2 linked regions of the Xenopus tropicalis genome follow. The protein of the gene in region 1 interacts with the protein of each later gene in a pairwise test. Links are inferred from orthologs where the notes say so. Each region holds a gene or a part of one and is shown in the gene's direction. Other genes may lie near its edges.

The links.
Region 2: the proteins of ubxn11 (region 1) and eif4e interact in binary tests that used the Homo sapiens proteins (3 or more experiments, as listed by UniProt). The link is inferred for Xenopus tropicalis from reciprocal best matches to the Homo sapiens genes UBXN11 and EIF4E.

What each region holds. Positions count from the first base shown.
Region 1 is NC_030678.2:77,357,966-77,361,892, reverse strand, and holds the start of ubxn11 (UBX domain-containing protein 11), read left to right. Parts: upstream 1-1,604; 5' UTR 1,605-1,657; coding exon 1,658-1,905; intron 1,906-2,140; coding exon 2,141-2,181; intron 2,182-3,064; coding exon 3,065-3,157; intron 3,158-3,292; coding exon 3,293-3,393; intron 3,394-3,927. UniProt on the Homo sapiens protein: May be involved in the reorganization of actin cytoskeleton mediated by RND1, RND2 and RND3. Promotes RHOA activation mediated by GNA12 and GNA13.
Region 2 is NC_030677.2:74,905,656-74,909,482, forward strand, and holds part of eif4e (eukaryotic translation initiation factor 4E), read left to right. Parts: intron 1-717; exon of another isoform or gene 718-848; intron 849-2,849; coding exon 2,850-2,989; intron 2,990-3,827. UniProt on the Homo sapiens protein: Acts in the cytoplasm to initiate and regulate protein synthesis and is required in the nucleus for export of a subset of mRNAs from the nucleus to the cytoplasm which promotes processes such as RNA capping, processing and splicing.

The sequences.
Region 1 (3,927 bases):
AAACCATCGCTCCTGTTTTGAGCACCGATAACGGATCAGACCGCGATATAAACTGCATGATTTTAAGCGTATATTACAAAAACAGGTAATAAAACTTGTATAAGAATGGTGCGCCACCTGCTGGTCTCACGTACCATTGCGCTTCGGGCTATAACCAGGCGGCGCTTACAGTCCAGCCTCCATAATGCCTACCCTACCGATTCCAGCCACAGTTTAGCTAGTACCCACACACAAATACCTTTGCACAACTGACTGAGCAGTGCCTTTCAGCATCCAGTTCATAACGCCAAACACTCGTGTTAGTTATATTGTAAACCAGTGCTGTCCAACTTCTGTTGTACCGAGGGCCGGAATTTTTTCGACCTGCGTGGTGGAGGGCCGATAATGGAAGCCAGTTTTGACCACTCCCCTTTTTGAAACTGCACCCACTTGAAACCACACCCATGTTATCACATGACCATACCCATATTAATGGTTGTAGTACAGCAAAAACCTGCCATACTCTGCCTGCCTGTGTGCCATACTTGGCTGGTTTGTGCCATACTTGGCCTGTGTGTGCCATACTCTGCCTGTGTGTGCCATTCTCTGCCTTCCCTACCCTGCCTGTGTGTGCCATACTCTGCCTGTGTGTGCCATACTCTGCCTTCCCTACCCTGCCTGTGTGTGCCATACTCTGCCTTCCCTACCCTGCCTGAGTGTGCCATACTTTCACTGTGTTTGCCATTCTTGGCTGGTTTGTGCCATACTTGGCCTGTGTGTGCCATACTCTGCCTGTGTGTGCCATACTCTGCCTTCCCTACCCTGCCTGTGTGTGCCATACTCTGCCTTCCCTACCCTGCCTGTGTGTGCCATACTCTGCTTGCCCTATGATGCCTGTGTGTATGGCACACACAGGCAGCCTACAGTGACACAATGCTGGCACTGCTCCTACAGTCTGCACAATAACTATATATTAAAAAAACTTTTTAATTGCAGTACCACCTCAGTATATGTTCTTTTTGTAGTGTGCAGGGATTATTTGTGGGTTTCTACTGCTCCTGAGGTGTGAACAGGGGAACAATGTGGGTGATTACAGCCTGAGCCTGAGGTGTGAACACTGCAGGGGGGGAACAATGCAGAAACTAAAAGGTGTGAAAAACACAGGGGATTACATATTTAAACAATACAGCCTGATTACAGCCTGAATCTGAGGTGAGAACCATGCAGGGGGGGAAGTTAATCACAGTACTGATACCATTTAAAGCTTACACAAGAGTAAGCCATCAAAGCAGTCAGACAGGTGGGGGGCCACACAGAGGGGGGTCGCGGGCCGCATGCGGCCCGCGGGCCGCCAGTTGGACAGCACTGTTGTAAACTATCAGACATTTTGTTTGCAGTTATCGTTCTAAAGTAAAATGGAAGGTTTTGTCAGTTTTAGATAAGCGTTACACCAGCCGTGAATAACACAAAGCAAAAACACAAAATAAACATAGATTTTCCTACTGTCCCTAGCAGATGCCTCCACACAAAGAATCGAAATTATTAAACCTTTAATAGACAAAAACCCCAACGCCTCAATCTGCTCTATGCGCGCTTGCTCTTTGCGCAGCCAATCAGAATACTGCAAGCGTTACCTAGCGACTTGTACCAAACAATATGGCGACCCAGTGAGTGCAGCATGAGCAGCCCTTTATTTACTCTGGGAAGACCCCGTAAAACCAGAATAGCATTGGCCCAGCAGAGTTACAGCGGGGGGCAAAAACAGGCGCACGAAACACCTTTGCAGGCTTTGGCTCGCTGTGACGATGGGAGCAGGACCTCTGCGACTCTGGAACTAATAAGGGAACCTGACATACCCATGGCAGGGCAGTTGTCGAAACCTCAGATTAAATCGCCGAACCAGTTACCTGCGCTTGAATCCCCTGGGTAACTAACTGCAAGTATTTTCATCCGTTTCTGGACTACATCATCCAGTATCCCCTGGGAGCCAGCGGCCAGAGCTGGAGGCTGCAGTTCAGCAACCTTTGTAAAAGCTACTCTTCTTGAGCAAATTATCTATCTGTTATCTAACTGTTATTTCTGCTTATGTTTACAAAGTACCCCCCAGATATTACTTGAGAAAAAGAATGAGCATCTTTTAATATTTTTATTTTCTTCTTAGAAGACGAGCTGCACCATTCAAATCCATGGCATACTACACGGGTGAGTTATTTTTGTTCTACCCATTAATTGCACATATCAGTGATCAAAAAAAGGCCATATCTGGGCCAATATATTCCCATTTTTACAAACCTATTCAGTTTTATCTTCTTGTGGATATATTTAGAATAAATAATAAATAAGCTGTTTGGGGTTCTCAGAGTTAAAAATTAAACAGTAATTTAGTGGTTTGTATTTACTTTTATTTTCAATGCATCGCATTCAGTTTTTTTGTCTCTGTCCTTCCAAGTTTTAGTTGTATTATCCCCATCCCGCTGACCGTGACAGTGCCTTGCAATCAAGATTGCAAGTTCTTTATCCCAAGATTACAAAGTATTTAAAACAGCAGTTCCACAGCTTTAAAGTAATAAAAATATAATGCACTGTTGCCCTGCACTGGTAAAACTGGTGTGTTTGCTACAGTAACACTACTATAATTTATATAATAAGCTGCTGTGTAGCCACGGGGGCACAGGTTACATTGCAGATAACAGACAAGTTCTGTAGAGTATAATAGTGTTTTATCTGTTATCTGCTATGTGCCTGTGCCTTTTCTCCTTTGAATGGCTGCCCCCATGGCTACATAGCAGTTTATTTATATAAATTATAGTAGATTTTCTGAAGTAAACACACAACTTTTACTAGTGCAGGGCAGCAGCACATTATATTTTAGTTACTTTTATACACTTTCATTTTTTGGTGTTACTGTTCCTTTAACTCTTAACTCTCAGGAACATACAAACTAATTGGGGATTAGCCAGATATTGCTCACCTCAGGTGAGTGTATTAGAGGAAAGACCTAGCTAAATTAGTGGATCTAATAGTGTATGGCCAGCTTTAGTTTATTATTCAAGGGAATGCACTAATATCTGTTTGTTGATTGCAGAAGAGGAGATGATGCTACTTGAAGGTCTCCCATCAAACACCACAGGACCCACAAACAAAGGGAATTACTCCCATCTGGGGAAAGTTGTGCAGGGTTAGTACCAGTTTCATTTGGTCTAATGGACTTTTTGGTACTGATTGCCATAACACAATACTGTATCTTACTTAACTGTTGTCAAATTAAGGTTTACTGAAAGGTATAGAGTTGAACAGTGTAATGTGGTTGCAGGTTCGGCTCCCAGTGACTTTGACCTGCTAAATTCTACAATGAAGCGTTTAGGAGAGCTGGAAAGGAGGGTGCGGGCCCAGGAACAGGAGATACAATCAAAGGTCAGCACTGAGACCCTTTATCCAAAGAGCCATTTTGTCCTTTACTTTTGAGTATAGTCCCTTAAAGGAGACATATTATATAAAAGTTAAGAATGTACCAGTGAATTATAGAAGGATTGTGCTTAAAAAAGTTGTGTTTTAGACTGATTTATTGAGAAATTCCACCAAAACCCCACTTGTCCCGCCCATCTGTCTTACTTCCTGCTGGCTGAATTCTCTGGATGTGCAGGGGGGGCGGCGGTTCTCAGTACACTGCACTGTACCAATCAGCAGCTAGGCTGACCTGATAGGGAACTGAAGCCTGTCTTTGCTTGTGAGAGTGGCTCTCCCCCTCCTACTTTTCTTTGGCAGGGCTTGTTAGGACTCACCCACCCTTCATTTAAAACACAGACAGAGAACTGAGAGGATCTATCGGGAGCTCCAATAAAGGGGCCATTTTTACAGATAAGATGCATTTTTAGCCCAAAGTAAAACAAAGTAAAACCATTACCGTATATTATTCATAATTGCCTACAAAATCAGGTTTTTTTTCTA
Region 2 (3,827 bases), on another chromosome or scaffold:
CTTACCAAGGACCTATAAAGAGGCAAAATTATGTTTTCTTCCCTTGAGTCAATGCCCTTTTTTATACAAGACAGCACTTTATTACACTGCCTGGAATTAGACAACTTGTTATCTACAAAAACCCCTAGATCCTTCTCCATTAAGGATACCCCCAACTTGATATGTAGCATGTAACAAATTGTGTGTATAAAACAGGGAAATTGGTCCATTACAGCAACACACCTTATAGTATTTTAATAACTCACATAGACCTAAACAGATATGGACCTACAACTTTTTAAAGCAGAAGGAAAGGCAAAGTCACTTGGGGGTGCCAAAATGCGCAGTAGAGTGAAAAAGCCAAGCTTTAACAGAGAATTCGGCTTCGCACTCTACTGCGCATGTGCCTGTCGTTTAGTCTTTGCAAAACGAAGGAGGAAGCGCTGCGCTACAGGTACCCTGGGCTGGTGCTGTTTTCTCCTAACAGGGACACCAGCCCTGGGGTACAAGGTAAGTGATTAAAGTCACTTGGGGGTGCCTAACATTTTGGCACCCCCAAGTGACTTAGCCTTTCCTTCTCCTTTAAAGACTTAACATTAATCTCTATCTCATGCTCATTATGCTTTTCTCTAGTGTTTGCACGTGTTCTGTTTTACATCACTGCTTTTTAAGATGCTTATCACTAAAGTGATGTTTAGAAGCTGTTCTTATAATTTACCCTGCATTATTGCCATATATATGGAGGATTAAGAAAGTAGATCTTTTCAAGTTTCATGGATCCTACTGATACTGTCCTCCTACATAAAATGGTAGAGGAACAGGACTGTTTGCAAGTTTGTACACAGGACCTACTTAATCTACCAACACGTCTAAATGTTAATAGCATTCTGTTTTCAGCTACTAAATTGCATACGCAGTGGGGGTGTTTTACATGCATTTCCTACTTCATTCTTTTTTAATCGTTTTTATGCACTTCTGGTAAAATTAAAGTGTTGTCTTAGAGGCCCATTTATCAACATTATAATTTTAGTGGTTTGAGTTCTTTGAAACCACAAATTCCTTTCCACGAAAACCATGTTTATTTGCAATGTCAAAAATGAAACCCCATAGGAGAAGTCACGTGAAGCACTTGGTCTCGGAATGTTTTCCTGGTAAGACTAAGGCACACCAACTGCCTATGTCTCTTGTCTTGAATGGCAACTACTGTATAAGCGGTCACAGGTGGTTGCCATTTAAATCAATTGACAGGGCGCAATTACATTTTGTTGTAAGACAAAAATAAATACTAGTATTCTATATTCTATTCAATATTTTATTTCTTTAACCCTGTTTAAATTAATTTGTGTCAGAAACAGGTGTGTAATGTACACATTTTTTAGCTCTAAGATTCCTTAAAGTATTTTAACACTTCTTGAGTTACTTCCTGAGAGCGCAATGATTTTGGTTTGCAGTGATATTTCTTTATTGTATGCTTTATTCATGTAGCAATAGTAGTTGTGAACATGTGACATCATCTTAAAAATTACACTCATGACTTATTACATCTACTCCATAAAGACTGCAGTGAATCCAGAGATTGCTATAAACAATAGACCAACATGGTATATAAAGTCTCTGCATGTGAACTATAATTGATATTTGGTCACTGCTCACATTTCAGCATTCATCTGTTAAGGGATCTCCACAACTATAGCTTAGGGGTATATTTATCATGCTGTGTAAAAAGTAGAGTGAAGCATTACTGGTGATGTTGCCCAGGGCAACCAATCAGCAATTAGATTGTAACAGTTAGAAAATCAAAGCAAAGCATCTGATTGGCTGCTATGAGCAACATCACCGGTGATCTTTAACTCCACTTTTTACACAGCATGATAAATATACCCCCAAATAACAAGTGGTCTACAGTTTCATTATCTGGTAAAACTTGAAGTACAGCAAGCCCATTATTTTATAAGGCACTCGGGCTAACAGTAAGGGATAACTGTAGGACTGAAATAGGGTTGGGGGTAGGGATTTGCTTTGGTTTTTGCAAATATATTTCCCCAACAAAAGTTGCAATGAATACTTGACTTACATGTTGACGGAAGCCTTTTTTAGTGGGGCTATGCATTAGCTTTGACATATATATTTATATATTCGGATAAGAAATCAGGCAACTTTTATTTATTAAAACATGTGTTACAATAATTATGTCACTTCTGTTTTTGAGTGTTGAACTATATTATCGCTAGTATTTTTATAGAAAGTGCCCAATAGTTGAGCACACACTTAAGAGGACAAACATTCTGTATTAGAGCACAAAAATACATTTAGACTGAAAGCTGAAAGATCATTCTTCTGTACAGGTATTTTGGTTGTAACATGTCCCCTTAAAGGAGCTTCTCCTGCAGAATCCTGCATTGAAATCCATTTTTCAAAAACCGATTTTTTTTTTTTATATTTAATTTTGAGAAATCACATGGGGCTAGCCATATTCTTCATTTCCCAGGGTGCCACAGCCATGTGACCTGTGCTTCGATAAACTTCAGTCACACTAATCTGCAAGTTGGAATGATTTTATGGTCTACTTTTTATTTCTAAATGACACTATTTACATTTAAATTAGGTAACCTATATGTAATAAATCATTACAATGATTAGGTATCAGTTTTGTTTTTCTTCTGTTTGATTCTCCTTGTAGATCGTAAGCTCTTTTGGGCAGGGCCCTCTTCACCTCTTGTATCGGTTATTGATTGCTTTATATGTTACTCTGTATGTCCAATGTATGAAACCCACTTATTGTACAGCACTGCGGAATATGTTGGCGCTTTATAAATAAATGTTAATAATAATAATTGTAGCATGTCTCCTTACGTTTGTTCATCTTACAGCTTATGTGCCTTATTGGAGAGTCCTTTGATGAATATAGCGACGATGTATGTGGAGCAGTTGTAAATGTTAGAGCAAAAGGGGATAAAATAGCAATCTGGACTACTGAATTTGAAAACAGGGACGCTGTTACACATATAGGGTAAGTCAGAATTATTTCCTTAAAATTATGTGTGCGCTGGTAATCTAATTTAGACCTGCTAGGAACAAACATGGAATAGCTCCAATATGCCTGCTTACTTAAGGGAATAACAAAAACCATAGATAACAATAGGCAGAAAGTTTGGTTATCACAAGCCATTTTCATTGCACTCAGGTTGAACAAGACATGTATATTGCCCTTTTATTCTTGGCAACCTGCCCCGGGGCAGAGATCACGAATTTAGTTTTGATCAACTTGAGGTTCTTTCTAAAATGCTTTCTTAATGAGAATATATGTTGGTGTATGTTTTGTGTCTATATGTTCAAAGAGGCACGCTCACATGGCCTAGCAAAATCGGCATGCTTGGGTCAAGTGTTTGATCCCCAGCATGGAGTCCTCACTTACTGTGCAACAGAACTTTAAGATGGTTAAACAAACAAAAGCATGTAAATGGACTTACCTTATTAAATATGTGCTTTTATTCACTAAGCATAGCACTGAAGATTTTATATACTAAAGGACCAATTTATCAAAGGTTCTTAGACATTTTTAAAGAACTGCTTTTCACCCTCAGATTTAGATTTTGATATTTTTCCTTCTGGCATTTTTATTTTGAGAAAATTTTGAAGATTAAACTGCAAAGATCAGTCCAGTGGGCTCATTAGTATTTGTTTAAATGCCACTTTACTAGAACATAAAGCAATATCTGAAAAATGGAGAGTGAAAAAGACATTAAAATGCTGCCATTTTGTAGCTCACCTCTGACTGCCTGGACATCTTGTAGTTTACAGCCTTAACTTTATTTCTCAAATAAGTAATCTCACAATGTTTTTAATCC